4 linked regions of the Drosophila melanogaster genome follow. The protein of the gene in region 2 interacts with the protein of the main gene of each other region in a pairwise test. Each region holds a gene or a part of one and is shown on either strand. Other genes may lie near its edges.

Region 1 (7,783 bases), 5.9 Mb from region 2:
ATGTTATATCTAAGGATTTTCAATGAAACTCCCACAAAAAGATGTGGTATTAATATCTTTTTCTTGCTTTCTCATATGTCATAGCATACTTTTAAGCACCTTTTCAAAGAAACTTCGAAACTAAATGTTTTCTGTGGAAAATAGCATACTTTAAGGCACATATTTCAAGGATATGATGTTCTGCAGCATTGAAACTCCACAAATGGCTCTTCAATGTGTACATTTAACTGCCGAAGGACTTCTGATCCTTTTCGACGCGTAAAGGATCAACTTGAACTTCATTGTTGTGCCACCATGATGACCGGCGCTGTGTGTACTTTTCATCTCAGCTAACACACACACATACGCACACACACACACACACTGGCCCACCACACAAACATGCAAATGAATTTTTCATTTGCATGTGTCCTTCGCCCAATGAGCGTAAGGACTTGTGGACACACTGGCACAACTGGCACTTTTTGGCAACGTGTGAGGCTGCGAAATCTCAGCTGTAATTGTTGAATAATTCAGTTAGCACGCGGGATAATGAGACGCCGAAAACTGAAAATGAAAGCTCCTCCTTGAAGTTCTCTTCGAGTGTAAGTGTGTGTGGCCATCTAACGCCAATTTATTGATGAACAATGAGGCAGCATTGCAGTGTCTCTGAATTATTCAAGTGTGTGTGTGTGTGAATGTGTCCCTGTGTTTGTGTGTGTGTGTGTGTGTGTGTGTGGGGCTCGAAGCGCGTTGAAGTGTACGCACGCACACAAGCGCAGCGCAGACACAGGCTTTTTTTAATTCATCGAGAGTAGCAGCCGAAATGTTTGGTCCTTCGGTGCGGATTGTGGGGGTTGGTTTTCCTTTGCCCCACAGCGACGCACAGACACACACACCACACACACACACACACACAGGAAAAGGATGCCCGCCCTTAGTTAACTTTTTTGTTAGTTTCCCCGCTGCTGCCTGTTTGTTGTGCTATTTCGCGCAGCTTTCGTAGCCCCAACCACCAAGCAGATTCCCTCACAATTCCCATGCACTGGCAATGACAGTGACACTATCCTGCCACTCCAGTTCGCGAAAAAAAAGATGAAAAGAAGGACGAGAGCTGGCTGGGTCCACGCATTGGAAGTGTTTCATTATATAAAGCCCGCACACATACACATCCTTTCCGCCGCACAGGACGAACGCGAACGGCTCGCAATTTTCATCGGTCGCGTTGTTGGCAGCAGGCAGATCCTTTCAATCGCTCACGTTAATTGCACAGAAATTCAGCGGCGCCCCACGATTTTTTCACTAGCGTAATTTGACGGCGATTGGGCCGCACTTTCGTCCTGTCGCCACTCGGATTCGGATTCGAAATCGCATCCGTAATGCTCTCGATTCGGATTCGACGGCTGCGGCAGCTTTGCTCCGGCGCACAAAACAAGCAAACTGGTGCGGGGATAATTTTTGTATATTTTGGCAAGCAATTGGAATTGTTATTCGCCAGTCGCTTTGCTTCAACAATTTCACTGCATTTGTAATTATCCTTTTTTTTATCGTGGCAATCGGATGCTGCGGCGCGGGTGAAAAAAGTTTTAAACTTTTACGCTGCGTGTTGCTTAAATAGATTTTCGGGCGAAAGCTCGTCCTGCCAAATTCGCTCTCTTCGCGGAAAATCTCTCTCACTGTTAAGCTAACATGTGTCCTAACCGGTTAAGCGAATTCTGTTACGGAATTTGGTTCGAGTCTGGGCTGCAGACTGTTGCATTTAATTTAAAAAAAACCTGATATAAAAAACGAAACAAATAAAATGACTTTGCCATCTCATAAAAACTATTATTCCAATTGATTAACAATACACTCTTTCAATTAAATTGCTCACGTCAGATATATAAATAATTTTATCTTAAGAAGGAGTACAGTTTTAAAGCCATTGTGCCCTGACTAAGCGCTTGAGCATTGGTTGAAAACTTGGCTAGTACCTGGATGTTCAAAAACAGAACTTTTAAAATCGAACATTTCTTTAGAATTTGTTTCTCTGTTAAATTGAAATGTTCATAAGAAGAATAAACCATAGTCTTCTGCAAAAACGTTTATGCTTTTAGATAATAATTTCCAAATTTGTTTTTTATATTTTTAATTATATATCCTTCTTTATTTACCAGTAAAAGCGCTATAAAAACTTATTTGTTAGTAAAACCGCCTCATCATTTTGTTACGCATCATTTCATATTGAATGAAAATTAAATGCAAAAAAAATCGGTCATGTCGACAGAATCCACCGAATCACAATATCATCCTTTTGCCTGTCACCTGTGCACCTTGGGTCACTCCACTGCTGCTCCTTGGCCCACTGACCCGGCTGTCAGTCAGCGAGATGACTCCAGCTGAAATTGCCCTGAAATCGCGTCCAAAAATCAATTTTCACAATTTGGAGCAACCATGTTCGTCGGCCTGGCAGAGATGGGCTGATAACTAAAGTGCAGGGCAGGAGTGCACAGGCAACTCGAAAAAAGCTTAAACACAAAGCTACATCAGTGATCCATCGCCTCGGGCGGCAGGACGATGTTGCAGCCCAGGAGACCGCGTCCACTCCACGTTTTCGGCACCAGGATGAGGTCCAACTGCTGCTCGCCGCGCTTCACTTTCAGCTGGACATTCTGGCTCTGCATGTTGCGCACCAGCTCGCCAATCTGGGCGAGATCTCCCTTGAAGTTGCCGCTATTGATGGAGCCAAAGCGGAGGATGGCATCGCCGGCACAGAGACCCTTAAATGGTAAAGATGGCCCATCTCAATGCTGTGATCTTCGCTTGTTTACTACATTCACTCACAGCTCTTTCGGCGGGCGAATCGGGACTGACCAGATTGACCACCACGATGGCGCGTGCAGGAGCAAGATCCGTGATATTAGCGCCACCGGGTGAACGGTCGCTGTCCAGGTCCAAAGCGGAGGCGCGGTTCACCAGCTCCGGATCTGTGGTGGCAATCTCGCTGTGATATTGGTTGAGCAGCGTCTGGATCTGGTTCATCAGCTCCTTGTGGTCGTTCTGCAGGCAGATGATCGTCTGTCGCGCCAGGCGCACCTGGTAAACGTCGATGTCGTTGCGCGGAAAACCCTCGGCGTCCACCAGTGGTCCACTCATGCCCACATTGTCGTTCTGGAAGGAAGATATCATTATCAATGCTATACAGCATAAACAAAAGAATGTACTCAAAATACAATTGTGTATATACCCTACACCAAAGCATAGGATAATGCTGTAATGCTTGCCCAAGTGGACATACCCTAACCAACAGTAGGGTATTGAATATATCAACATTTGGCTTGGCGGTCCGTCCAAGTTGAAGAACCTGCGATCATGAATATCCACGGTGGTGCGTCACCAACAGCTTGCCACAGTGTGCATACCCTATCCCGGATGCAGGGTATCCCCGGATGAGCAAGCGAATTTACTTACGGCGGCCAGGATCTGTCCGTTTCTGTTGATCTGCGCCTCCAGCTGCTTTTTAGCGTTAATCAGACGCTCCAGGCGCTCCTTGGTCGTCGTCCCAGCGGCCATGACTTCCACTTCGATTCGAGTTATTCCAGCGTTCGTCCCGAAAAATACAAATTTATTATTTTTCGTTAATGTTTTTTTTTTTCAGCAGCGACAGTAGCAACAACAACCAGTGCTCGTGCAGCCCTGGTTGCCCGCGACCAGTGTGACCGTATTGCGGCGAACTTACTTTGGCCAAAAACTAATTGTTAAACAATTTTTCGGAAGGGGAAAAGAACAAATTGAACGGCGAGAGTAAACACAGGAATTCACAAATTTCTATGAGAAACAGATCGCACGACGGTGAAACGAAAGGGGGGAACGCCTTTCCAGCGGACATCGCAGAATAGACGACGGGCGACGAGGGACCTCGAAAAATCGCACGGCAATCAATTCGAGTGTGTGCGAATTGATTACAAAAATAAAGGTATTTCGAGAGGTGAGCGATAAAAGCGCGTGTGTGCCTGGTGAGGATTAGGTGTAGCCATGAACTAACCAAACGTTTTGCAGCCACAGGCAACACAGGGACCACACCGTCCACTCCCATCCGCCGGAGTGGGGCTGCCACCTGCGATATGTGATCATTGGGGCTCCGCGGAGGTTTATGCAATGTTCTAGCTCTCGGCCAGTCGGAGGTAAAGCAGCCGGTGGAGCAGAAGCAGGAGGGGCAGGAGCAACAGGCCAGATGACTGTGACCACCATGGAGGCACAGGTCAAGGCAGCACACCATCATCATCTACATCATCCCACGGGCGGAGGGGCCCAGCACAAGGTGGAGGAGGAGGAGCCGGATCCTGTTGAGGACGAGATGACCGTACTGCTGGCCAATAAGAACTTTCACTATGACGTCGCCTCCGATCTGGACGACGACGCTTTTGTGGAGCTCAAAGAAGACACCGCCCAAGCGGATGATGCGGGCGCGGGCGTTGGCTTCTACAATCCGGATGAACTGCTGCTCGATGACCAGCCACATCCGCAAGTCACGTGGCTGGACGACGACGAGATCGAGACGCTCGATCGCGTGACGCTGGACATGGGTAATATGTTCTTCAATCGCGTCGACAGCCAGGACATCATCTATCAGCAGAAAAAGAAGAGCATTAAGATGGTGGGCAAGTACATAATGGGCGATGTTCTCGGCGAGGGATCGTACGGCAAGGTGAAGGAGGCCATGAACTCGGAGAACCTGTGCCGCCTGGCCGTCAAGATCCTGACTAAGCGGAAGTTGCGCCGGATTCCCAACGGCGAACAGAACGTAACGCGCGAGATCGCCTTGCTGAAGCAGCTGAAGCATCGACATGTCGTGGAGCTGGTCGATGTTTTGTACAACGAGGAGAAGCAGAAAATGTACTTGGTCATGGAGTACTGTGTCGGCGGGCTGCAGGAGATGATTGACTATCAGCCAGACAAGCGGATGCCGCTGTTTCAGGCGCACGGTTACTTCAAACAGCTAGTCGACGGCCTGGAGTACTTGCACAGCTGCCGGGTCATCCACAAGGATATCAAGCCAGGCAACCTGCTGCTCTCCCTGGATCAAACGCTGAAGATATCCGACTTCGGTGTGGCGGAGCAACTGGATCTGTTCGCACCTGACGACACATGCACGACGGGCCAAGGTTCTCCGGCCTTCCAGCCACCGGAGATTGCCAACGGACACGAGACGTTCGCCGGCTTCAAGGTGGACATCTGGTCCAGCGGAGTGACTCTGTAAGCCTTCCTTGTATAATATCATGTATTAAATGTATATACTGTACTAATCTAACGGATTTGCAGCTACAATTTGGCCACTGGACAGTATCCCTTCGAGGGCGACAATATCTACCGACTGCTGGAGAACATCGGGCGAGGTCAGTGGGAGGCGCCCGCGTGGCTATACGAAATGGACGCGGACTTTGCCAACCTGATTCTCGGCATGCTTCAGGCTGATCCCAGTAAACGCCTCTCTCTGCAGGAAATACGCCACGACACGTAAGTAGGAATATTCCTTGATTGCACTTCATGATAACTGATTGTTATAATCTGCTTTTAGTTGGTTCCGATCCGCACCGGTTAAGACCGGCCCACCGATACCCATTCCCCCCCTGAAGGGTGACAAATACCGCAACTCCACGGTGATACCTTACTTGGAAGCTTACCACTACGGCACCCAGGAGGAGGATGTCTACTTTACAGAACACGACGTAAATCGTACGTACCAACATCAATCTAATGCCGAGTGAACTACTTTCATGGTTACCTTTACAGAGGAGCTCGCCCGCCAAGCGGCAGCTGCTGCCTCCGAAATTCGGGCCAAACAGTCGGCGGCAGCCCTAGCCGCCTGCCACACCTACGAACCGCCCTCCACAAGTGCCGCAGCCGCCAGCAATTCGCTGGGCAACGGTAGCAGAGAGGAGGCGCCCGTCAAGAAGAAGGGATCGGCACTGAAGAGGCGCGCCAAGAAGCTGACGTCCTGCATCTCCGTGCGCAAGCTGAGCCACTGCCGAACTTCGTAGGCGCCTTAGATGCCTCCACTAAACATAGATGCTAAGATTTATCGAAAGGAATAACTTTGTTAACAAATTGTGAGCAACTTTTTGGTTTTGTTTTCCCGTTTTTATTCTGTTGTCCTACATTCGCCAAGTATTTGTAACCATAGAATCATGTAGGAAATTCAGGCGCAACCTCGTACCGCCCGAGCAGCAGGAGCAGCAGCGGTCGCATCAACAGCAGCAACAGCCCGCATCAGCGGAGTTGGCTGTGGAATTGGGGAGCTATGGGAGCGACACGAAAGCTATATATCCATGTGACAATACTGTGTATTATATGAAACAAATGAATGCGTAAATTAGTCGTTAATATATTATGATGTACTGAAGGCAGCCGAGGATTGCCGGAGGAGACGGTGCCCATTGGTGCGTCGCACACATAAAGAAATATGTTCAAGTGAAATTGTTTGTTGGCTTCGTTATATTCTAAACTACACACGACGAATGATGCGATTTTCAGGCGCCGTCGGTACAATAACTGCTGGACAGTATTTGCAAGGCCTAGGTTGAGATTTTAATTTTTACAAACCAATGAAACGAAAATAAAAGAACCCATTGAATATCAAAATACAAACACTGCATTTAGTTCGCACATTTCGCACATTCCAAATTCCACACTCAACACTCGCAGACGCTCCATTATTCCATGCACACACGCTCATGCTCACACTACAACATTAGGCTAGCTAACTACGTTTGCTTAATCTATTTCAACGATCTGCAGCCGGGCCGTCGGATCTGGCTCTGAGTCGCCCTCCATCAGCTCGCCCATGATGAACATCTGATGGTAGTGGGGGCCCAGGGTGGACAGCTTACGCTGCATTAGGTGGCGCAACGGGTCCACATATTGCGGCGGCACCTTGGCCAGCTGTGTATTCGTGTTGCGCCAGTGCAGCCCGTTGTTGTCCACGTGAAACAGCGCCGGCGAGGGCACGTGATCTTTAAGATAGTTCCAGATGCACTCGCGCAGCAGCAGGGCAATCTGGAAATGTCATACATTAGTTGGTGCTACTACACAGTTTGGGCAAATAATGGATCTACCTCTGCCGATTCAAAGTGCTCGATGATGAGATGCAGATTGGTGAGTGGAGGTGGAATTAGTTGGCTCATAGCCAGCAGTTGCAGCATCTTCTTGGTGCACAGCATCAGCTCATCGTTCGCAGCAGTGGGCTGGAATCGATTGACTGCAAACGTATAATATGATTAGGCACCTTTATAGAAAATAAGCAAGTAAAGTGACAAGCTCACCATTCTTGCCCCGCCAGTGATGCAAGCAGGTGGCGCACAGTGCGCGCAGTAGCACGGAGGAATAGCAAAGCGCCGGCCTATGACCGGCGATCAGTCCCAAAACAGCCCACAGCACTGGGGAGTTGATGAACGCTCTCCTGATTAGCATGTCCCGCTCCATTGTGACCCTGGTGAACTCCTCATCCGGAAAGGGCAGGCCGTTGTACATGACATCCGTGGAGACCAGCTCGACCAGCAGCAGCGAGACCAGCGAGTAGCCCTCCACGTTGTTGGGCTTCTCCAGATCGGCGCAGCATGCATTCAATGCCTTAAGATACAGCGCCTGCTTCTCCGCATCGCAGTTCCGCTCGCTGGGGGGCAGCACTGGTCGCAGACCTCTGCCTATAATACCGGAATGCAGCACGGAGCGATTCGAGTTGGCGCCAGAGCTGGTGTGCAGATTCTGCAGGATGAGGTGTTCGTGCTCGGGTATCTCAAGCTCATCGAGCTGATACACCTCCAGC
Region 2 (8,497 bases):
AGTTTCGCACCTTTTCTTCTACTCAAAGTGACTATATAAGCCGTAATACATTATTTATTATTTTCTTTTGAACTTTTGTTAGCCATTTTATTATTACCTAGTAATGGCACTTGAAGCTTGCGTTTGGCATATGTTTTGAAAGTATAGGCGATGTCTACAAAAACTTCGTGCTCAGTTCGTTAAAGAATTTGATAAGATTGCAGTCAATCATTACAAGTTCATTGGCACGTAGACTGCAAAATCATGATCTCACCTGAATCAGCAGCACTGGATGCCAGGTCGCTGGGCAAGCTCTCAAGTGCGGTAACCATGGGTAGCTCGTCGGGAGGATTCCTTCTGGAATCCGGTCCTTCGTAGTGGGCGCTCCGCCGGGGAGGTTGTTGAACCACAATGCCCGAAACCGCCAGAGGAATGGTGCCAACGGTAACCGGCATGACCATCAGCTGTTGTTCGCGTAGACTCTTAACCAACGCCTCAACCTCCAGTTGGTAGGCGATCTGGATGAGGTTGCTCAACTCCACGCAGGTGGGCGGCGTTGAGGGTACGGGCAAATCGATGGTCTGGGATCGGGTGCACTGCTTCAGCACCGATTCCCCCTTAGCTCGCGATATTATTAATCGCTCCACTCGAGAGTGTTCAGGACTGACGCTGTAGTATCTCACCAGCATTACCAGAGAGAGTCGGATTTCGGAGACGGCTACGGCAGTGTTGTTGACTACCACAATGGTCACGGGAATCTTCTGGCCAGGAACGTAGCCTGCTTGTGGAAGGTGCAGCTCCAGTTTTAAAGGATCCGTCTTGCATGGACCACAGCAAAAGGTGCGGTAACCCTCGCTGTGGGCAGCGGACTGTAATGGATGAATCGATACGATATAATTAACCTAAATATAATTTTTGTATCACTATAACACCGAATCATTTGAATTATCATTATCTTAGTATGATTACTTTGAATCCACAAGTAAAATATAACTATAGTTCATTAAAAGTACCTAAAATGTCTGTACGTCTTCAACTTAAAAAAAGTCATTTTAAGTGTATTATGAAGTATTTTATATTTCACAAAATACATCATTGCTAGTTGCATACTAACCTTTAGCTGGGGAGTGTCAAAGTTGAGATCCAGCATCTTGAGAACCGTGAAGCCCTTTGTGTAGGCCTGATCGAACTTCCACGGTCTGATCAGCAGGACTTTCACTATATAGCGGATGCATCCATGGCGACCCTCAAAGGACGAGGGGCATTGATAGGGCAGCTGGCAGGTGAAGTTGTAGCTGTGAACCCCAGCCTCAATAGTGAGTCTGTGAGTGTTGTTGTGAGTGTTGTCTTTTTTGGGAGATAAAATTGTTTATAAAAGCAAACATCTTTGAGGTTTCTACTCACTTTGCTCGGAACCCACGAGATAAGTATTTGATGATAGATAATCCTCCCGGCCCACGTAGAGTTTTGTCGAGCCCAGACTCTTTTCGCTCCACTTGGTTATAGAATATCCGACTACCTTGAGCAGCACAGCTGCGATTTAAGAGAAAATAAAGAAAAGAGTTAGGATATAGTGTTATCATGGTGTCTATATAATCTGTTAATAAAGTTGGGAGTGCACAATATAGTTAAGCCAATTCTAATCTCAACTGAACTGTTATAAATACTTGAGGAGAATTTAAATATTGTCAGTAAAATCAAAATATTCCTTATATAATTCAAAATAAATTTTGCGATGGGCCTAACCTTCCTCCTAATCACGTTATTAAAATAATACCAAAGCAAAGCCACTTCAAAGTGTTATCAATCAACCGAACACATTCCGCGTCTAAGAATGTCCGCTAAATTCAGTGTCGTCATAAAAATATACAATTTCTACATACACACACATCGTTATCGAGCAAATATTTATAATACTGCCGCTAGGAAGAGCTAACTTCAAGAAATTAGCCGAACTTCTGGGATTTGTTTTCAATGTAGTTTATTAAACGTTTACTATAATTACCTTGAACCTCCTTGGACCTGTCACATTTAAGGGTCGCGCATCCTTTTACCAGCTGACCGGCGTAGAAAGTACCATGTTTATTATTATCGAAGCTGATCTCACACGTAACAACCATTTTTCCCAAGATTAAATGTCCGAGCGCGAAAAAGCTAAAACCGATGTTATGGGGCAACTCACTGCGACTAATTTAAGTACAAAACTTCTGGACTGCTTGCGGTGCGACCGCGTCGTTAGATAAGCGATAAGAACCATAACTTGGACCCGATGTCGGATTCGGATTTCACCGGGAACGATACGGAATCGTAGTCCAAACTGTATAAGAGTCGATAATAAGTTCCCTTGCGAACTACTCGGACGTTCACTTGGGGTTTTCGGTCTGTTATCAGAGTTGGTTGTCGAGACCTTGGCACTGGGGAAGTTATTGCCAGCATTCATCGAGGGGTTTTCAAGAGGAAAGAAAAGCGTCGTGTTTGAAAATCTTAGACTACATATGGTAATATATATATAATTTCGAATAATTTCAAAAATCGCTCCACCCTGTACCAGTCTTGGAATTGTGATAAAATGTTTATTATAAAGTGTTAGGTGGAACTTTTGCCTTGTGTGCAAATGCTTTATCGCCCTTACATTTCTAGTATAGTATTTATTTTCGTTCTCATAGCCACGTTCCCTTGTCTTTGTCCACATCCATGGCCGGATTGACAAAGGCCCTCTCTGCCATATAATTCTGCGTATAATCCGTCGGCGGCGGAGCTGAGGGACTGGGTATGTCGAAGACCGGATAGAGTGGCTTATAAGCACCGCCATCCAAACTGAGAGTATTGGGCGGTACTGGTTCCGGGTCGTCTAAGTCGTCTGACCTCGTTGCAGCCGTGCTGCGCATGTGAACAGCCTCCTGATAGTTGGGCGGAGCTAAAAACACCAACAAAAAACATAAATTGATACTGTAATTAGTTTATGGATTCTAGTAAACTCACGAATGGATGCGTCGACAGACCATGGACTTGAAGAGTTTGGAGCAGTGGCTACTTCTTCAACAGCCAGCTCATTAACATTCAGCTGGGGGACGAAACCCCGAGGCTGGATTGGTACGTGTTGTGCAAGAGGGACACTGCCAATGGTCAGCGGAATGGTGACAACCTCGTTGTTGTGGCAACCCTTCACCCTGGCCTCCACCTCCACTTGGTAGGCGATCTGGATGATGCCGCACAGGTTGAAGCAGGTGGGCGGAGTGGCCGGGACTCTGATCTCATAGCTAAATAGCTTCTTGCAGTTCCTTTGCACAGCGTCCCCCTTGAAGGTGTTTACCACCAACCTCTCGGACGTGGTATTGGGCATCGAAGGTGGCTTACTGTGGTATGTCACCAGCATCACAAAACTAATGAGGAGCTGCTCCACCGGAATGTGGCTATCGTTTGTGACCAGCACGCTAAGGGGAACATTCTGGCCAGGTACAAATCCTGTCTGTGGAACGGTCAGTTGGAGGGCCAACGGATCTGATCGGCAAGGCCAGCAGCAGTAGGTCTTCGAGGTTTCACTGTGGGCGGGTACCTACATAACATATTCAATTAGCTTAGGTTCTAACAGATATGTATTCGTGTTTGATTTTGATTCGTACCCTTAGCAGTGGACTATCGAAGTTCAAGTCCATCACTTTTAGCACCGTAAAGCATCGGGTATAGCTCTGATCGAATTTCCAGGGCCTGACGAGGGTTACGGTTGCCATGTACCGCACCCTGCCGTGTGATCCCTCGAAGGACGAAGGACATTCGGTGGGAATCAGGCACACGAAGTTGTAAGTGTGAATTCCCGCTTCAATGGATACTTGGCCTGCAGATATGATTAGCAATTAGATGGACTTTCTTGCCTAAATGGAGCTTTACGTACTGCTCAGATTGGATCCCACCAAAAATGTTTTGGACGCTATGTAATCCTCGCGGCCGCAGAATGTGCGACGTCTCCTCCTTCTGTTTGTGGTCACCCTTTCAATCCAACGCGTCTCTGCGTATCCGGTTATATTCAAGGTGATGGCTGCGGAGAAGAAGTTGATAAGGTATTTCTTAGAAAGGTATTTTAGCTCAATGTACTGTAACGAATTGAATTTATTCTTTAATTGTTTTTTAAGTCATCTAAACGATGATTATGGTTTTGACAAATTAAAATCTTTTAATCATACAGAATTACTGTTATGCATTCACATGAAATATCCATAAAAACTTACAAAAGCAATCGTTGTATATATGAAAAAGTCAAATATGTATCCACCCCTATTTAATATTAATTAATGCGAAACCCATTGATTATTTAAAAATAATTTAATCTTATCGAACGCAAATATTATCATTGATGCATTTGTGTATGTTCGCCAAACACCTTCATGTAGACATTAGATTTCGCACGTGTGGTTCTCTACTCACTATAAATATATGAGTCACCGGACTAAATCTTCGTTTAAAAACATTCAACCGCACTTTTAAGTTGGACGATAAGATAAGAATGACTCATGGCATATTGTCAAATTCCAAAGGTATCTCAAATCAACTGCCCCTCACCTTTTACCAACTTCATCTTGTCCAGCTTCAACGTAACTCTGCCAGTGAGTACCTCGCCCCCAAAGTAGGTGCCATGGGGATTGTTATCGAAATCAATTTCACAGGTAACAGTCATAATTGTAATTGTAACCGCAATCGTGTATTTATGGGCCGATCCTACTCTGATGCCGCTGCAAACACGACTGATTTGATTTTAATGCCAATGTTCAGTTATTTACTCCCTAAATTCCGAGAACTCCAGACAGAGTGGAAGGAACCGCTTTTCGCGACGATAGCACCCACATGCCCACTTGGCTGCCAGAAATCAACTGAGAATAAAACAAACATTGCGGTTGTTCTATATTGGTAGCGATGGCCAGAAAAACTTTATCTTATCGCTGTCACAATTTTGAATTATACATTTTGCCAAATGCAGTCGAGCAGCAAATAGCCCTCATATCTCCGGAAAAATCCCAAGGACTTCTTGACAAGCAGGCGTGGGATGGGATGTCCAATGGTTCTCAAATGTAGAATAGTTTTTTCGCCCGCCTTCATTTCTTTTCCTCTTTATCCAAAGCCGCTTCCTTGCTCTTTTCTACAGTTGAAGTAGACAAATCGAAGACAGGATACAACGGCTTGTAAGACTTCTCTTGCGCATTTCCCGACTCTGACTGTTTCTCAGAGTCACTATGGGAATGCATGGCCTCGGCGTAGTTCGGTGGCGCTATAAAAATCGTATGGTTACATAATTGATATGGACATATTAAAACAAGGACAGCTTACATAGTGTGGATCCTTCTGACCAGGGATATGGGGGAGCAGCTGGAGCAAAAGCTCCCTCTCCCTCAATCAAAGTCAAAGCTCTTTGTTCTGGAGCCTCTGGCCCAGAGCTCTGCGGCGTATATTGCACCGCTGACGGCGATATCGGAACACCACAAATAGTCACCGGCATTATCAGAGTTCCATTGATATGCATGCCCTTCACCTTGGCCACAACCTCGATCTGGTATCCGATCTTGATAATGCGGCACAGATGGAAACATGAAGGCGGAGTAGAGGGTATCATCAGTTGGAAGTCGTACATTTTCCGGGAGTTCCTCAAAACTCCATCTGCCTTTAACTTGGCCACGGACTTGCGCTCGCACTTGGAACCTGAACTTAGATCACTGTAGTAGGTGATCATCATTGATAGTCCAACCTTCACTTCGTGCACCCGAATTTTGCTTTCGTTACCAATCAGAACATTTGCGGGTACCGTCTGACCAGGCACAAAGCCAGTCTGCGGCAAATTCAGCTCCAGCGTTAGAGGATCCGATCGGAAGGGCCAGACCCCAAAGGTTTTCTCAGTCTTGGCCTGCACGGGAACCTTAAAAGCGATTACATTGTTATAGCAGACCTCCAAAATTTCGTTTCATGTTATATTTACCTGTGAAACAGAGTTATAGGTGTTTATGTCCATCACTTGAATAACGGTGAAAGCTCTTGAGAAAATGCTGTCGTACTTCCACGGCTGAATGATATTGACATCCACCATATAACGTATACGACCATGAGTCCCCTCGAACGATGAGGGACAATTGATTGGAATTGGACAAGCAAAATTGTAGGACCTAGTTCCCGGCTCCAAAGCCATTTCTTTGCGAATACATAAAATGAAATTTTGACCAATTTCAATAACAAATTATCACTCAATATTTTACCAGGGCTAATTTCGGAACCCAAAAGATAAACTTTACTGGAAAGGTATTTCTCAAATCCATTGTACGACTCTGAAGTGGACTTGTTATTCGAATCAGTCTTGCTTTCGGTCCAATGGGTCTCTGCATAACCTTTTAGCTTAAGTCGAATTGCTTAATATGTAAAATGTTGCGAGAATTATATGAAGTATCGCAATCACAACTGAGTACTTACCTTTGATTTGAATCGCCTTATCAGTGCTCAGAGTCACTTGACCAGCAACCATTTGGCCCGCGTAAAAAACCCCTTGCGTGTTGTTGTGAAAAAGAATTTGGCAAATTATTCCCATGGTTTTTTATGGTTAAAGCACAAGTTTTAATGAATTTAAGTCTGTCGTTAATTGTTAAGATGTTTTCCCTTCAATTGCCGCAATCAAACTGAACTAAAAAGTTTCTTACCACTTATTTTGTGCAACGGAGAGCTTTTGGTAATTTATCTTATCAGTACACCCATAAATCTATTTATTGGTAAACCCAAAAACCCCCTACAATTTTTTTATACAATAAATAGATCATTCGTAACCAGCTAACATGAGAACTGAATTATCAGGTCCAAAAACAGCTGATACTTATATTTGTGGTGTAAAAACAAGTGCCCCCAAATGAGTTGAGGCTCTCGCATCTGAAGATAGCAATTTCACTCAAATAAATATATTAACTCATCGATAAGATATCGCACAACTCAGCAAATATTGCTCACTGAGGTCGACGAAAAGTTCCCGCAGTTTGCGTTCAACCACAGGGTAATTGTCATGTCTGTTGTATTTCGATTACTTATTAATTATTTACAGAGTGGGTACATTCATTTTTAAGCCCTTCTAAAGCCAAGTGCTTTTTTCTACACCTTCATTGACATAGCCGCCATCAGTCTTGGGTTCATTTGCTCTCAAAGTCATTTCGTCCACTTGGTTTGACAAATCAAAGACTGCGTATAAGGGTGAAAACACAATTGTTTCAGCTTTCCTCTCTTGTGATCCTTTTACACCTCTTTTCTGAGACTTTTTCTTCGATTTCGAGAACTTGTGCGGATCCGGGGAGATGTGTTTAGCCTCAGCATAACTCGGCGGTGCTAAAATAAATAAGTGATTCCTTGAATTATGATCTTTAAATTCGAATATGGAGTTTTGTATGAATTTCCTTAAAGCTCCTATTTTACTCACCAATTGAAGGATCCGCAGCCCAAGGATTGGGGCTTCCGAGTGCTTCTCCATTCTGTTCGCTGCCAATTAAAATCAAAGCCTTCGCATCTAGCTGCTGGGGTGGCAGAACTTCACCCCAAGTCCTTGGTTCTTTTTGGAGTTGCTTCGTTAGCGGGACACTTCCAATAGTTATGGGCATGTGAAGGGACTGGCCGCCATGACAACCTTTAACTCTGGCCTCCGCTTCCACCTGATAGCCGATCTGAATGATGCTGCATAGATTAAAGCAGGTTGGCGGAGTTGGCGGCACCTTAAGATCGAAGGTAAACTGCTGCCGGCATTTGGTCGACACACCTCCGCCTGTTTTCAGGACCATCTCAAAACGGTCCTTGTTGGTGTCCGCGGACGGGGGTTGACTGTAGTAAATCACCACCATAGTCAGTTTTACGGTTATGTCCTCCACGGCTACACCACTGTCATTGGAGACCATCACCTCCACCGGCACGATCTGTCCTGGCACAAAGCCACTCTGTGGAACAGAAAGTCGCATACTGAGTGGCGACGAGCGGCAGGGAAAACAGCAGAAAGTTCGCTGGGACTCCACTTGACTAGGTACCTAAAATTTATAAAATATAAAAATATAAAATTTTATACTTGACCATGGTACAACCAAAGACACTAGAATTAGACATTATTCTAATGTCTTTGGTACAACACATGGTACAGTGGACTATTCCATAGTGTGTGGAGAGACTAAGAAACATACCCTCAGCATTAGGCTTTCGGAGTTCAGGTCCATCACTTTGATCACAGTGAAGCATCGATTAAAGTTCAGATCGAACTTCCACGGACGCACGAACCTCACGTTCACCAGATAACGTATCCGACCTAGTGTCCCCTCGAAAGAAGAGGGACATGTGATGGGCAACTGACAGGCGAATCTATACGAGCTGGTGCCAGGCTCAATAAGCACCTCTGAAATGGAGCTTTGATTTCATTATCTCTAGATTTATGGTGATTTATCATCTTCGAACATACCTATGCTGGAACTAGACCCGTGCAGATAAGCCCTAGTGGCCAAGTAGTCCACATGTCCGTTGAATGATT
Region 3 (8,915 bases), on a different chromosome or scaffold from region 2:
ATTTTCATGTCTTTTGCGGCTTATTCCCATGCAATTTCTTTATTTAAGCGCTCATTAAATTGTAAAGCCAAATGCGTCCCCCACTAGATTATATAGTTGGCACATCCTCTTGGCCTCCTCGCACATCCTCAATGCAATTACGCGCATGCCGACAGCGCATGCGTGACATTTTCAGAGTGACTGCGCGATGTCGCTTCCTCTGGCTGGGTTCTGTTGGCCGGTCTGTCTTTGGGCCAGAAGTCCGCTCTGTCGACTGATCAAACAAAATAGCTGGCAAATGATTTACTACCGCTCTCGCGTGCATTAGCCAAAGTCATGGGGCTAGCACTTTTGGTTTCTGTTTGTTCTTTTCACCTCCAGTTGCTGGGAGACGGGGTTTTGTTGGCCCGCTTCTCGCTCTTGGTCAACAATATCACTGCAAAGCAAAGGGCATGAAGCAGGCGATCTGCAAGGCGGCAACCGGTTTCGGCCAACTGCGCAGTTTGATCGCTTTTTTCATGTCTTTCTTTTATTTTTTTTTTTTGGGAGGAACTGCATTTGCTGAATTGTTGCCCTCACAAAGAGTTTTTGCGGTTTGCCAAGAAAGTTACCAGTTTTAGATTTTTAAATTTAAATGTATTTATTTTAATTTGAAGAGTATGTATTTTGTTGCGATATATAGATATTCTTTATAAATCAGCTTTGATAAGCAGGTTAAGTTGGCTCATTCATTACAAGGAAAGTAACTGCATTCAGAAAAGTACGCATAAAAGGTTTAGAGGGTGTGCGAAAATCGCCGCTTTCCCGACTGTTTTGATTTTTGTTTGGCGCTAAAAAGGAAAATCAGACTTTGTGCCCGTCCAGAATCAGGGTGTTGTGTTGGGGCCGCTGTTGTTTTGGGTTGTGTAGCCGTCACCCAGATTATCAGGAAACTGGAGGAACCAGTTTCGGTGCGATGTGGCATGCAACCTAAATATAGAATTGCAGCTCGCCAAAAGTCGCGCTATTTGCTGCAAATTAGCTTGCTCAAATTATTGATCCAGACCAGAAAACTGAATTTATGGCTCGAATGCCATTATCACTGGCTGCGAAATTCATGGCTTATGGTTGCGCCCGGTGTTTGTTTATATTTGCATTTGCTCTATTCGGCTTTTTCTGGCCTTATCTTATCAGCAAGTGCCGCACACGAGTGTCACACATGCACAGGTACAGATACACATAGACTGGCCGATACAGATACGGATACCGATACAATTGCGCACCTTTTGGCCAACCACTTACCTGTTGATTGAGCGGAGAAGAGAGCGAGTGAGAGCGCAGCGTGCGGATGTGTGGGTGAGCGGGAGTATTTGTGTGAGTCGCTCGTCTTACAGTGCGACTCCAAACAACCCGTCGTCGTCGAGATCCCGATCCCAGCCCTCATTCGCTCGAACGCAACGATCGCGCGCGGTTGTATCTCGCAGAACAACAGAACAGAAAGATATAAACCCGGAACGAAAGATATAAGACCAAGAAGTGTCGAGGAACTCAAACGTATTCACTCAAGTGCTCAAAACATCCAGAAACAACTCTCCCGGTCACGGTCCCCCAAACGCTTTTCATTTTCGCAGAGAGAGAGAACGTTACGAATCCGCTTGCGAATCCAACAAGTGCGAGTGAAGGAAGTGTAAGTGTCTTGGCCAGTTTCTTGGCGATTTGTTGTTTGTGGTTCGTTGTTTGTTGTTTGTGCTGGCCTCCTGCCAAAAAGTTTTCAAAAAAAAAAAAAAAAACGGCTCCGCGAAGAGCCGGTTTCGAGCCACAGGGCTCGATTGTGTGATTCATGGCTCCGAAAACTTGACCGTTGACTCAGCATCCCCGAATATCAAAGACAGATTTAAGCAATTAAACCGCATTGGTATAAAAAGCAAAAGTGTTAACCGCAAGTTATTGTGTAACTAACCGTTGTCACCGTTGTCATTAAAACATAAAAACGAAAGATCGCCGAGATGCGGTCTTTAAACTTAATTACGCCCGTATCTCGGTATTTCGTATCTTAATCGCCTGACCGAAATGCGTAATAAAAAACCGCAAGAACAGTGTTTTTTGTTAGTGATTTTGATTGAATTGCGCTAGATTCTTTATTATCATTTTTGCCACTCAACATGATTTAATTAAAAAGCCGAAATGTTTTTTGTCGGCATAGTTAGGTGGCGGGTTGGTTTATTATTATTTGTTTACTTGTTTGCTGTTCTTGTTTAACCCGCCTGAGCTTTTTATGCCACCCGCTATGTGATGTGATGTAGACACAAATACGCGCGGCATAAAACATCCAAATATTATATTATATTATACATATTTATCTACATAGTCGTCCATGTTTTCCTGTCCATTTTTTTTTTGTTTTTTGGTGGATTGGTGGATTGTTTGCCTCGATTCGATTCAATTCGTTTCGTTTCATTTCGCTGCTTGATTGAGCACATCAGCGCTGGCAAAAACATATTTGCGTTTATTTTTGTAAGCTTTGCGCTATGGCTACATTTTAACATATTAATGCTTTATGGCTCACTTTTCATGCACTGGAAATTCAATTTAGGGAAATTTCATTTTAGCGAGAGTATGTTTTTGGACCTGCGATCTTTAAAAGAAGCATGCATTGGGTATGAGGGATGTGTGACCCCGACGGAATGATTAATTGTTTATTGAGAAATGGATAATGGATCGGATGGATCATAGCTCGGATGGAGTCACCACCGCTGATTCACGCACTTAGGATCTTTTGTGACCCAAATTCCCCAGATTATTCGGGGTTGTTGTTCCCATTTAGCTGCACACTTTGTTGTGGTTTTGAGGAAAACAGATCACGGGAAATAGTTCAGCACCTGCACTTGCTTTCAACTTCAAAGAGATGTGCCAAATGTGCGTTTCATACGCATAGTACATTCATGACAAGAAACAATAATATGAGATCATTGAAACTTTATGTATATCTAAAGTATAGATAATGAAATTATCCTACTTAAGGATTTATTTTTTGGGCAATTGTACTTGAGCCCTTCAGCAAATTGTTTATCCCATTTAACTAGATGTAATTATAGGATTACTATAAGTTACAGCCCCGAAACGGACTGATTGCACATGGGCATTTGGCTGGCTGCGCCGTTAAAAGCTTGGCTATGAAAACAAAATACAAACAATTAGCCAAATAACAAAAAGAATAGCCCGCACCAGGAACAACAACAAAACAGTGGGCCACAAAAGCCAGACAGACATTGGCAGCCGTTGCCGTCGCCGTCGTCTGGCGTTTTGTAGCTTTGCGGCTCTGCCGTCGTATCGGTTGGGAATTGAGAACCGACAATGTCTATATAGATGCTATATAGCCAGACTGTGCCACTGCCACTGCCTCTCGCACGGCCCAAAAGCAGCGACGCCGGCAGCGACGACGACTGCGACGGCAGCGATGTGGTTGAAAAGATTTTTGTATTCGAAAACGGCACAAAATGCACATAAAAATTTTCGGTTTCGGTTTTTGCTTTAGTTGAGAGAAAATCGTCGCTTAGTTAACGTCGCCCAAGAACTGAACTGGCAGTGCACCACAAACGTCACGAATATACGAAACCGAGATCCAAGTCCAAATCAGTAAAAATCAAATCAAATCGAAACCGTATCGAATCGAATCTAATCGAATCCCAGCAGAAAGCCACCCGATCGGAATAAATCGGTCAGTACCAGGTCGCATGTGAAATCAGACATTCGGTTAAGTAGAAATCAGCTGGTTATACAATAGCCTGCCGCAATCGATTCGCCAGGATCGCTGATGAATCAGAATCAATATCAGAGACAGTCACCGCCCCTCTCCCTCACCATTCGTCCACTAAATAGTGACTTGTGTGCATTTTGTGAAGGTTAACAACAAGTAAAGTCCCTTACGAAACCGAAGACTCAGCGCGAATAATATAGGCGATTGGTAAATAATTTTCTTGGCACGCCGATCCAGGGAATTTCTTTTGACGCATATATCACATTTGTTGGCCAGAGCACAGATACAGAGATACAGATACGTTGTAGATCTTCGGCTCGTTGAAATTGAATAAAATTATATAGTCAAAAAGCGAGAAAATTTTTAGAAACTTTTCAAGGTGAGTTTATTTATAGCTCCTCGAAATGGCTGCGCGGATTGGATTTGTTTCCGAATACTCTCGCTCAGTCAGTCAGTCAGCGCCGTTCGCCAGCAGCCATCCGCCAGATACAATATCTGCCAGATACAGATACACAAATTGCGAAAGTGCTGCGAATGTGGCGGCCACCACCTCCTGCGCCTCCTTTCTATGCTCGAATTGCTGCGGTTTGGCGCCACAAATTCTGAGACATTTTCAAAACGTTTTGAGCGCTATATAGACTATATATCGGCGACAGCATAAAGCATCGCATATTAATGAAGCCAGACCAGCTCTCTAGGTCGCCTCCTCGAAAAGTGTCTTTCGTTATCTTGGCAATTTTCGTTTGCGATTTTCGTGGCTGCTCTTCGGATTTCCTCTTCGCCTGATCTATTTTCAGCGATTTTCAGCAATCGCTCTCTCCTTTTCTCTCTGCCTACCTCGCCAGCTCTCGCTCACTCTCACTGCCGCTGACATCACGTATACGCAGTGGTTGCTCTCCATTTCCATTTGCCATTTCCAATTCCTGCCAGGCCACCAGCAGTCTGCCTGTGATGTAATTTAGCCATGACCAAAACTTGTTGATACTCGCCCTGTTCTTGTGTCCGTTTATCTTCTGGCTTTCTTTTAGCCTGGGTTCAGTGAACCCCAACAAAACGACGAAATCGATTAATCACCCACCTTGTTATCTAGCGATTAAACTAATGTTTGGTCACCTCACCAATAATAGCTGTAAAGCAATCGCCACTTCGACCGAATCAATCTTACAACGCCTCACAACATCCGTGAATCAATGCCCGATAAGATAGTGGTTCTATAAACTTGAATGAGCTAATAGCCATTGCCACTGACCACTTTTTCGATGAATGAAATGTCTTTGTTTACACTGGGGTTTATCAGTCCAGGGCGGAATTAATTACGCAGAGGATGATGGGTGCACTAGAAAATACACCGAAAACAAAGAGCTGACTGTTCGTTTAATTATTTAAGTCGAGTTCTTTTAGTAAACAGAATTGTATCTAAATTTTTTCTCACTGCTGAAAAATACTAGCAAATTCCTTCTCGGCCGGGAATCGTAAATTAAGGCCGTCGTGGAAATGTAGCTGAGCTCATTAGAATGGCACTTCTCGTGCACATCCTATTCCTATCCTATCCCATTCCGTTCCTGGGTGCGTGACAATATTTCATGGCTTGGCTTCACTTGACTCGGATTCGTGCACATATTGCAACCATCGCGGGGGACTGAGCGATGGGGCAAAAAAGGGGAGACATGCTCTACAAATTTCAAACAGCTTTGCGTATATTTTAATTAGTTCGCTCTCTCATTGGCCGCTTTTGCTTTTTGCAAATTCTCTGCGGTCTCTACGATTGCCACCAAATCATTTCTCAAGAATTTAACCTTCGTGAACTGTCATGGTAGATTGCATTCTCTTTCCTTTTGCTGAGACAAGCACTTCTCTCGTATCTTTGTATCTTTGTTTATTCTTCAGGGTTCGTATGTCACTCAGAGCAAAAGAACAAAAAAAAAAAAAAAAAAAAAGGTGGCGAAACAACGCAAAACCCGACCGATGATAATGATTCAAGAATATTTAAACATACGTTAATGGAAGGTTCTTGCCTGGGAATGGTTGTAGGAGTAGATTGAGATATGACCCCTTTCGACCTTCTGATCTTGAATCTCATATGCTATATGCTATATGGCTTTTAAAAGAACTTCTATAATGAATTTTTAAATGCAGTGCTTGGCTATAGGAAAGAAGGTGTGCTATTTCAGCCAATGATATCATCTCAGCAAAGAAACAATTTCTTCAAATGTTTACTTCCCAATATATAGCATAAATAAATACATTTATTGCTATACAGACTGATACTATTAGCTCTCCTTATCGATTTACTAAGTTATAGTGCTCTGTTATTGCTCCCACTTAAAAAGCACTTGTGAGGTGTGCAACCCTGACCTTAACTTCTGCCAACAAGTTAATCACTTTCGCCTGGCCAACAACTGCGATGGCACACTTTCGCACAGATATGAAATCGCAAGTGGAGGAGGCGAGCGGAGTCGAGCGGAATTACACAATATTCGAGCGGCAATTTGACTAAAAGTAATCACGTATCCGACGCCTCGCAATTACATAACCGCAGTGCGTTGAAAATAAACGCCCACAGACGCGAAATCTTCGACGAAGAAGTGCAGACTCAACGCAACTCGAATTGTCTGAACCCTCCCCCCCATACCCCTTTTTTTTACTTTTTGCTAAATGGGTAATGGGTACCACTGCTGCCACTGCTCTTTCTGCACCACAAACGTGACTGGCAAACAATTTTTGGTTTCATCGCCGCGGCAAAAGCCACAGAAACCCATCGAGAGATTGCGATTGAGTCGGCACTTTGGGATAGGGTTTTAGTGGGGAAACCCGCATGGCATCTCATACCCATGCCATTCCATCCCATCCATTCCAGAGTTTTGTTTATGAATTTAACGAAGGGAAAATATTTATTTTGGCCATGCACGTTGCGCTGAACAAATTATAAAATCTCGTGCGGCGCGCGCTCATAAATCACAACAGCATTTACGTGCATCTCTTTTTCGGCATCGAGATCGAGAATTAATTGCCCGACATTTGGTGGCGTTTAAACGGGCGATTGGTGATTTTAAATACATATGTATGTAAGCCAAGACATTCCGCTCGAGTTTTCCTTGGAAAAATAGTTCAAAACGCTGGCCTTCCGCCCACCGACGAACTAATATTCGAGGGGCATTTCTGCGCCAAGTCTATTTCGATCGACAGCCCCTGCAGACAGACGTCAATGCCAAAGTCACAAATATCAAAAAAAAAAAAAAAAAATATATATATATTTGTGATTGGCGAAAGCGAAAGGTAGGGCGGCATCTCAATGAAAATTACTTTGCCTTAACCCCTGCTGACCAAACTGCAGCTCCAATTACCCCAAAAACGAGAAGAAAATAAAAAAGAAAAACAGCGGTGTGCGTCCGTCACCGAAATAGTTGCCTCGGCCAAATGAATTATATACATTTCTGATGTATTTTTAAAAGAAGAATCCGCCTGTGACACTTGCCTCTGTCCATTACGAAGGCTGACAAATTGTTTGTTGAAACGGGGTGAAATGCAAATGCTAAGCATTTTATTTAGTCTTTGATTAATTCATATCCAACAGATACTTGTTCGCTTGCCAACAGAGCAGGCGAGCGGGCAGTGGTCTTAACAAATTCATTCGGGTGTTCGCACAATGTTCCCAGCATCCAGGAGTCGAGATGGAATCGAGGAGCCGAGGAGAAATCGAGGAGACCAGGAGCCGGGCACTTTGTCAGCCCTAATTGCAGCACTTTGTAAACTGTCACCAGGGCAGGCCGTTCAAAGGGGGCGGGGCAGCAACAAGTGTGTCTCCTCCTGGAGTTCCCATTTTTTGATGGAGAATTATGGCCGCCCGTCCTTTGTGTCGACTTTATCTGCCAGTTTCAATCTGCCGCCTGTCATTAGGCCAAGTGAATAGGGGATATATGCCTGCGAGATATGCTCTCCAATCATCCGAATGAGGAAAAATTTGCATTTCGCAATTGCATTTCGCTTAATCGCATTTTGTTAACCCATTAAAGCCCAGCAATTATGCACAAAAGGTAATTACCAACAAAAAAATAAAACGGCGGGAAAAAACAAAGAGGCAGAATGAAAATAGTTTTCAATTAATTTCATTTTGTTCATTAATGTTAAATCAAATGGCAAATCCATGCGCTGTCCGTCTGTTTCTGCAGTTTTCAGTCCGATAATCTTATTGACTGCATAATGCGTTCGGTCGATTGGATAGAAAAAACATACATACATATGTAGATAGATTTCAGCGAAGAATGTCTTTAAAAATGACTACTTCTAAAATCAATGGTTCGATTTTTGGGCGAGGATTAAATTAAATTACCGCACAAACAGCAGCAGATTGACAAGCCTATTAAATTGTCATTATATATGCCACACACAATTTGTAGACAAATTGAAGAGGGCGATGGAGATGGGCGACTGATTGAGGGCTTTGTTCTGCGCACTTTGTGCGGCTAATTAAATAAATGTGTTGATAATTACGCTTTATTAGCTCAAAACAACTAATATGGCATTAACTATTCCAGTGACAGATTTAAAATTGCATTATTTTCACTATTTTTTTTTCCCCCAGCAGTTGCATTTTTTTGTTTAGCTGTTATTTGTTCAATTGCCAAAGCCGTCAGTGCTTTATGCCGGGAGTTTAATTTATGGGATTTGCTTTTTTGATTGTTTCTATTATATATAATTACATTTTGCGCTGGCGAATAATGTGATATTTTGCATTATTAATGGTCGCATTTATTGGCCATTGCTCTTAACAATCCCGCTTTTAAATCCGTTTACTTATCGATATCGAGACGAATAAAAACGAGAACTATAAGCGGTACTATATGTATCTTTTGGATTCGCCCAAATGCGTCTGTTCTAAAATATCAGCATATTGCTATTCGGCTTCAGCTTTAAACGCCGGTTTTTGACACACAATTTAATAAATATTTACCTGTCAAATATTTCATATGTCTATGTTGATTCACTCGAAAATCCTCCGAAAATAGGTGAACGCATGGAAATTGAATTTTTGGCTGACCGAAACGGCCATCGAAGTATAATATCTCTGATTAAAATTTGCATTCGCATTGCATATTGCACGTTTCTCATAGAAAGCATTCGGGAAATATTAATCAATTTTGCGCACAGCCATCGCACAATTATAAATCCCGTATCCAAGCAATCAAATTGCCGCATAAGC
Region 4 (7,565 bases), on a different chromosome or scaffold from region 2:
ACATTGGCTCCCACACGGTTCTGGAGATGCTCAATGCGGGCTACAACGTCATCTGCGTGGACAACCTGTGCAACGCCTACAGCAGCGGGGCCAAACTGCCGGAGGCCCTCAGCCGGGTGCAGGAAATCACCGGCAAGAAGGTCAACTTCTATAGAGTGGACATCACGGACAGGGAGCAGGTGCGCTCCGTCTTCCAGGAGGTGAGCACACGTAGCATTACATAGCTGGCACGTCAGCAGTTCGGAGGTTCTGGGGCAAATGTGCCAACTGGATACCATTCAATCAAGCTTATCTGGCATGCGCGCTATCAGCTTTTTTCTCGTTCGCGCTTGTTTTGTTGTTTGCTCAAGTGGCGGGGCACTTCCGACGAACCGCCGTGCTGATCGACCCTGAATGAAAGACCCACTTGGCGAGGTCGCATTCGAGTTGGTGCGCTGGCATCCACATCCACAACAGCTCCCGGGCACGTACACTACAATCTGGGTGGTCGGGAGCCCAGATTGCAGTGTTTACATCCATTGATAACCAAGAGAATTCGCTAATTCGAGCAGGTTATCACGCATTCTTGAGATGTTCGATCAAAGGGGTTTTTTTTGTTAACCACCGTCGTTTATAAAAAACAAAGCGTTTATTTACATGTAATGAACATTATAAAAATGCACGTTGTTGCCCAAATAGCCATGAAATATCTTAAGCTGATACTTTTTCATATTTTTATTCAACCATAAATGCACACAGCTTTGTGCTTACGCGCACTGATTACTGAATAGATTGAGCAGTATTTGTTGTGGTGGAATTTTTTACCTAATCAGCACTATCAACAGCTATTTAAAGAACACATAATTGTTTGTCAATAAATCACCTTGAAATCAATGTGATACTTTCATTTAATTGCTATTAAATTCTGCACTTTACGTTTATAAGAGGCAATATCCTTGTGCTTACTGAAGAGCTGGTTATTACAGATTTGGATTTCCCAAACTAATAGGTACATATATTTACATCCCTTTCAGCACAAAATCGACATGGTGGCCCACTTTGCCGCCCTGAAGGCCGTGGGTGAGTCCTGCCGCATACCTTTGCAGTACTACCACAACAACATGACCGGCACCAATGTCCTGCTGGAGGCGATGGCCGACAACAATGTCTTCAAGTTCGTGTACAGCTCCAGCGCCACCGTATACGGTGAGCCAAAGTTCCTGCCCGTGACCGAGGAGCATCCCACGGGCAACTGTACATCGCCCTACGGCAAGACTAAATATTTCACCGAGGAGATTCTCAAGGATCTGTGCAAGTCTGACAAGGTAGGAGGATGTCATTTCTTGATGTCCATAAGTTCTGTACTAAAGAATTCGCTCTTTCAGCGTTGGGCAGTGGTTTCGCTGCGGTACTTCAACCCGGTGGGTGCCCACATCAGTGGTCGGATTGGCGAGGATCCGAACGGCGAGCCCAACAACCTGATGCCCTACATCGCACAGGTGGCCGTGGGTCGACGTCCCAGCCTGAGTGTCTACGGCAGCGACTTTCCCACGCACGACGGCACCGGCGTGCGCGATTACATCCACATCGTGGACCTGGCCGAGGGACACGTAAAGGCGTTGGACAAGCTGCGCAACATCGCGGAGACGGGCTTTTTCGCCTACAATTTGGGCACCGGCGTGGGCTACTCGGTGCTGGACATGGTGAAGGCGTTTGAGAAGGCCTCCGGCAAGAAGGTCAACTACACTCTGGTGGACCGACGGTCCGGAGATGTGGCCACTTGCTATGCGGACGCCACGTTGGCGGATAAGAAGCTGGGCTGGAAGGCCGAGCGTGGCATCGACAAGATGTGCGAGGACACGTGGCGCTGGCAGAGCCAGAACCCAAACGGGTATGCCAACAAGTAGAGCTGTATATCGCCACGTTCCTGCCGCTCCGCAAGTTCCTGAGTTACTACGCCTGATAATGGCTCAGGTAGCAATTTCTATTTGCCTCTAGTTGTGTATATTTCTTTCCAAATTTCGTGTAGTATTCGCTCACTTCGATGTGTGCAAGTGTGCGTATGTAATCCAAAGTACTTTGTAATTAAAAAGGCTTTTCGCTGTTGTCATGTAATTTTGTGACCGTCATTTACGCGTTTGGTGACCGCTGGCATCATTGACGCGTGCCAATTGGCGCAATCACGTAATTAAGGTCACCGACAAGGTGGCACTGGGAGATTACACTTGGCATTAGGTAAAATAAACACACAACTGCATCAACCATTTGTCAGATCTTAATCAAAAATGGCATAATCACATTAAGCTGACCAAAGTTACAAGAAGACGTCTAACTCGCACATTTATTTAGCAAACATTTATTCAAATGCAATATAACATTAAAAACTCAATTTTAAACTTAAGTGATGCGCCTTCTTCGCACATATCTGCACAGTTAAAGTCATTTATCACAAGTATGTACTATGAATGTATGTTTCTTTCAACAACTCTGCGTTCGGCTGCTGCTTCTGTTTGGTTTTGGAATGGTCTGCACGTATAAAAGTACAAAATTGTTTATATTCGAGCCTGTTGTTTCTGGGAGTGTTTGTTTGTATCGGTATTTGGCAATCTGTTTTACACTTAGGAGCTTGGCGATTCGTTCAACAAGTGATGGAGAGGCAAAGAAATCGAATTCAACAAGAAGCATTACTAGGTGCTACATTTACGTCTGGCTACATGTGTGTGCGATATGCATACGTAATGAATTAATATGTATAATATGGTAGTTCTAAGTATTCGCATAGGTTGCAGGAGGCAAAGAGATCCGTAGCCCAGAGGGGCGGTGGAGGGGATAGTTTAAATGCCGCTTAAATACTGCTGTAGTCTGTGGAGACCCTGCTCCGAGCACCACTTATGTGGAGGTCACGCCCTTGCGGGCCACCAGCATGTTGAGTATCGGGTTTTTCCGGATGTAGCTCACGGCCTTTTTGTGGGTGACCATGGTGAAGTCGTAGCCGTTGCACTGCAGGATCTTGTCGTGGATCCGCAGACCTGCTCGGGCGGCGGGACTGCCCTCGTGCACCTCGGTCACATAGATGCCCTATTTTCAAAGGGGAAAACGTAACATTGTAACATTGAAACTGCTCTTAAGATACCGAACTAAAACTAAATTCCCCGACTTTCAAGGAGAGCTATAATTATTAGCTTTAAGATTGAAGCTCTCTTTTATGCCCGGAATTAGGTTCTAGTGTTTCCCAAGTTTCTCACATAATCCGTGTATCCCTGAGGGCTTTTCTTGTAGTCCTGGTCGATTCCGCCGCCGATCTTGAAGCCGCACTTGAGGATCTCGCGCCCCTCCTGGTCGTAGTCCTTCTCCTTGTGCAGCGTGATGGGAATCTGGGAATTGTGAGTCACATTTCATCAATCACTCGAATTTGAAAGTGGCTTGTCTTTTTTGCTCCAGCGACCCAATTTCACCTATACACACACAGGCGACTGTGCGTGTGAGCCAGGTTTAGTTCGTTCGCAACTTACGCTCAAGCACTCCATCGCCGTGCCGGCCTGGTGCTGGAATGCCATTTTCGCCATGTCTACCGATGCTTTGACTAACTTTAATTTGCTAGATTAGCTAAGATTCCGCTGGTAAATTCGTCTTAAGATTGTCGCCCACAACAAACTCTGCTTCTTCCTCGCAATCATTTATCGATGGCGAAAAATCGATAGGTTGCAGCAATAATGCGATTGTTGCCAGCGACTGCCGCTGACTTTAAATATATACTTTTCATATAAAATAAAAACATGAAGGTCTTTACGATTGCTGTTTGGCAATGTTTCTTAGTTTTATTTATACTATATTATACATCTAGAGTCCCTATGCCTATGAGCGCCGCATGGCCAGCATGGTGTTGATCTCCCAGATGATGATGCGTGTCCGATCGATGATCTCGCGTAGCTGCCTGTTCTTCAGCTTGACGGTCTCTATGAGTTCATGGTTCTCCTGCAGGACTTTCCGGTACTCATCGCACAGCGAGGGCTCGATTCTCGGTTCCGGCTCATCGCGGTAGGGAATCAGACTCTCGGCGCTCATGTAATCCATTCCGGCGTCGTTGCACTTCTCGTAGATGATGCGCACCCTCTTGAAGAGCAGCCGGATGGTGCGGAAGTACTCCTGCACCTTCTTCTCGGAGCTGTTTTCCCTGTGCGAGGTGGGCTGGATGCCCTTGAGGGAGGCGAAGACCTCCTGGAAGCGCGAGGCGATATCCTGCACCGTTTCCTGACCGAGACGGGACAGCTGCACAATGTTAATCTCCTTGTGAGGATTTTGCTGCGAGATAGCCAGCATATTGTTGCTGCCCCCGGCTCCACCGGGTGGAATTCCTGCGACCGGATTGAGTTGCTGTTGCTGTTGGGGAATGTTCTGCTGGGGCATGTTTTGTTGGGGCTGCTGTTGCTGCTGCTGTGGAACCACTCCCCCTCCGCCCATTCCCACACCACCGCCCATTCCCACTCCGACGCCCACTCCTTGTTGGGGCACCATCATTTGCTGCTGCATCATCTGCTGCTGCTGCTGTTGCTGCATCTGGTGCTGCGGAGACATGCCGGGCATCAGGCCGCCAGGACCTCCAGGTCCTTGGGGATTCATCTGCATGCTACCCGGGCCGCCCATCATGCCCATTTGTTGTTGCTGCTGTTGATGTTGAGGCGACATGTGCATTTGCTGCATATTGCCGTGCTGCATGCCAAATCCACCCATCGGCATCATGTTGGGGCCCCCGCCTCCTCCGCCGCCGCTCGATGGTCCCTGATTACCCTGGTTTTGACCGTATTTCCACATTTTGCAACGTTCTTATAAAATAAACAAAATATCACGCAGAACGATAAACTTTGGCAAATGACACTGTTGTCGATAACATAAAACAAAACGGATAGTGTTAGATAACGCTGAAACTGTATGCTCGCAAACAGCTGTGAAGTCGCGGGTTTTAAATTACCAATCCTAAATGATAGATCTAGATCTAGATCTAGATTATCTTCACTAGATAAATTTGAGTGTTTTTACTAAGTTTTTATTTGGTGATTACTAAAATTTAAATTCTTAGTCAAATCCAAAATGGTAATAATAGCCCCCTGCAAAACTCGTTAGGAATGCGTCCATGCGAAAAGAGAGTTGCCACATGCGCGCAAAAATAATGAACATAGGTGTGTCAGCTGAGCGGTATTGGTGGAATTCAATTTTGGCTTTTTCATGCTTTTAAACGATTAAAAATGACCCGCGATGAGGATAATGGTTTTAGTGAATGGGTAAGATGTAGATAAAATGCTAAAAACATTGTACATAAACCAAACCTGCTCTTTTCAGGGCGGCTACTTCGAAGCCAAGAAATCTAAACTTGAGGAGCAGTTCGCTGCCGCCAGCGATCCATTTCGCAAGTCGGACCTCTTCCAAGGAATTTCTATATTTGTGAACGGCCGGACTGACCCTTCGGCGGATGAACTGAAGCGTATTATGATGGTGCACGGCGGGACCTTTCACCACTACGAAAGGAGCCACACGACGTACATAATAGCCTCCGTTCTGCCCGATGTGAAGGTCAGGAACATGAATCTCAGCAAGTTCATCAGCGCCAAGTGGGTGGTGGATTGTCTGGAGAAAAAGAAGATAGTAGACTACAAACCCTATCTGCTGTACACGAACCAGAAGACATCGCAGCCCATGCTCATCTTTGGGAAACCCAAAGACAACGGCGCAAATGAGAGCAAATCGGATGTGGAGCCGCCGAAAGATAAAGCGGAAGTGGAAGTAGACTCTACAAAAGATGAAACGCAAATGGAGTTGGGTGGCATTCTCAAGAATTTGCAGCAGGCTGTGGCCACTTCGCCGGAAAAGGAGGCCAGTGCATCAGAGAGCAAGATCACAAACTTATCCACCACCTCGAATAACTCCACCACCGCTCGCACAGCCGCGGATCCAAATTTCTTAAGTGAATTCTATAAGAACTCACGACTGCATCACATCGCCACTCTAGGCGCGGGTTTCAAGCAGTATGTCTGCCGGTTGCGTCAGAAGCATGGTACCCAGGGCTTTCCCAAAAGAGAGACACTGAAGTCCCTTGCTAATTCACACCACAATTGTTTGGAACGCTATGTGATGCACATTGACATGGACTGCTTCTTTGTGTCCGTGGGCCTAAGAACCCGTCCTGAGCTTCGTGGGCTGCCGATTGCGGTGACCCACTCGAAGGGAGGTAACGCAGCCACCGATGTACCGGTGCATCCGCAGGCGGACCGAAAGGCAGAGCTGGAACTCTTTGCCCAGCGCTTCGAGCACCATTTCCACGATGGAGACAAGGCGGAAAAGGTGCGCTCGGGCTTCGACAAGAAAATGTCGCTCTCGGAGATCGCCTCCTGCAGCTACGAGGCGCGGGAAAAGGGTATCCGCAATGGCATGTTTGTGGGCCAGGCCCTGAAGCTGTGCCCGGAGTTAAAGACGATTCCGTACGACTTCGAAGGCTACAAGGAGGTGGCTTTCACTCTGTACGACACAGTGGCTCAGTATACCTTAAATATCGAGGCTGTGAGTTGCGACGAGATGTTTGTGGAGCTAACCGATCTGGCACACGAACTCAATGTAGATGTGATGGCTTTTGTGAGTCACCTCAGGCAGGAGGTTTACTCCAAAACGGGATGTCCGTGCTCAGCAGGAGTGGCAGGCAACAAGTGAGAGACCAAATAAGCCTTTTACAATTATAATATATATTATATATATTATAGGTTGCTGGCGCGTATGGCCACCAAGGAGGCCAAGCCGAATGGCCAGTTCTTGTTGGATTCGAGCAATGATATTTTGGCCTATATGGCGCCGATGTCTTTGGATTTACTGCCCGGTGTGGGCAGCAGCATAAGCCATAAGCTCAAACAGGCGGGACTGAATAATTGTGGAGATGTTCAGAATACAACGTTGGAGAAGATGGAAAAAGTGCTGGGCAAGAAACTTGGACAGAATTTGTTCCAGAACTGCAGAGGAATTGATGATCGTCCTTTGGCTTACGAGCAGGTTGGTGTGCAGATTTTATTGCGTCCCACATATTTGTTTCTAATACCGTACTTTTCGTTTAGATCCGCAAAACAGTTTCTGCCGAAATGAACTTTGGTATTCGCTTTACCAACTCGGTCGAGTGCGAACAATTTCTGTGTCAGCTCAGCGAAGAGGTTACTAAGCGTCTGGTTGAGATAAGGCGCAAAGCTAGATCGATTAATCTGAAGATAATGGTGCGCGCCGCCGAAGCGCCAGTCGAAACCTCCAAGTACATGGGCCACGGAGTTTGCGATATAATCAACAAGTCCTCTCTGATCAAATATGCCACGGATGATGTAAATGTAATCACCACGGTGGTCCTCGACCTGATGAAAGACGCCGATATACCGCCCGACGAATTGCGTGGGCTAGGCATACATCTCACTAGGCTGGAGGATGCCAACGAAGTTCGGAAGGAGAACAATATCAAGGAGATGTTCGGCAAAATGTCCGAAATGAGGAAAGGTATTTAATCCGGCCAATTTTGTATACCGATTTTATTAAAATGTCGTACACGTTTCCTTTAGATAAAC

What was found.
Region 1: the proteins of CG18745 (region 2) and CG9588 interact in a two-hybrid assay, tested with the Drosophila melanogaster proteins (one large-scale study listed by BioGRID).
Region 3: the proteins of CG18745 (region 2) and Zasp52 interact in a two-hybrid assay, tested with the Drosophila melanogaster proteins (one large-scale study listed by BioGRID).
Region 4: the proteins of CG18745 (region 2) and CG3402 interact in a two-hybrid assay, tested with the Drosophila melanogaster proteins (one large-scale study listed by BioGRID).

The regions. Positions count from the first base shown.
Region 1 is NT_033777.3:13,672,999-13,680,781, forward strand, and holds CG9588 (uncharacterized protein), read right to left. Parts: upstream 3,684-7,783; 5' UTR 3,532-3,683; coding exon 3,430-3,531; intron 3,130-3,429; coding exon 2,803-3,129; intron 2,739-2,802; coding exon 2,505-2,738; 3' UTR 2,094-2,504; downstream 1-2,093. Other genes in the region: Lkb1 kinase, read left to right, coding at 4,112-5,214, 5,281-5,475, 5,537-5,694, 5,752-5,999; omd (oocyte maintenance defects), read right to left, coding at 6,733-7,014, 7,074-7,216, 7,281-7,783. UniProt on the Drosophila melanogaster protein: Acts as a chaperone during the assembly of the 26S proteasome, specifically of the base subcomplex of the PA700/19S regulatory complex (RC).
Region 2 is NT_033777.3:7,781,303-7,789,799, forward strand, and holds CG18745 (uncharacterized protein), read right to left. Parts: upstream 4,818-8,497; 5' UTR 4,652-4,817; coding exon 4,537-4,651; intron 4,016-4,536; coding exon 3,872-4,015; intron 3,815-3,871; coding exon 3,603-3,814; intron 3,536-3,602; coding exon 2,962-3,535; intron 2,897-2,961; coding exon 2,640-2,896; 3' UTR 2,541-2,639; downstream 1-2,540. Other genes in the region: CG18747 (uncharacterized protein), read right to left, coding at 254-848, 1,094-1,326, 1,384-1,512, 1,985-2,099; CG18748 (uncharacterized protein), read right to left, coding at 5,067-5,239, 5,299-5,881, 5,942-6,150, 6,216-6,365, 6,427-6,541; CG18746 (uncharacterized protein), read right to left, coding at 7,070-7,320, 7,412-8,006, 8,157-8,365, 8,429-8,497.
Region 3 is NT_033778.4:15,809,490-15,818,404, reverse strand, and holds the start of Zasp52 (Z band alternatively spliced PDZ-motif protein 52), read left to right. Parts: upstream 1-3,487; 5' UTR 3,488-3,676; intron 3,677-8,915. UniProt on the Drosophila melanogaster protein: Regulator of cell matrix adhesion having two related functions, one upstream of Actn organizing the Z line and the other downstream of integrins regulating assembly of integrin adhesion sites.
Region 4 is NT_037436.4:649,220-656,784, forward strand, and holds CG3402 (uncharacterized protein), read right to left. Parts: upstream 3,663-7,565; 5' UTR 3,546-3,662; coding exon 3,492-3,545; intron 3,354-3,491; coding exon 3,225-3,353; intron 3,058-3,224; coding exon 2,869-3,057; 3' UTR 2,323-2,868; downstream 1-2,322. Other genes in the region: Gale (UDP-galactose 4'-epimerase), read left to right, coding at 1-200, 1,014-1,304, 1,365-1,886; MED30 (mediator complex subunit 30), read right to left, coding at 3,835-4,791; DNA polymerase Rev1, read left to right, coding at 5,223-5,258, 5,317-6,674, 6,729-7,011, 7,074-7,497, 7,560-7,565.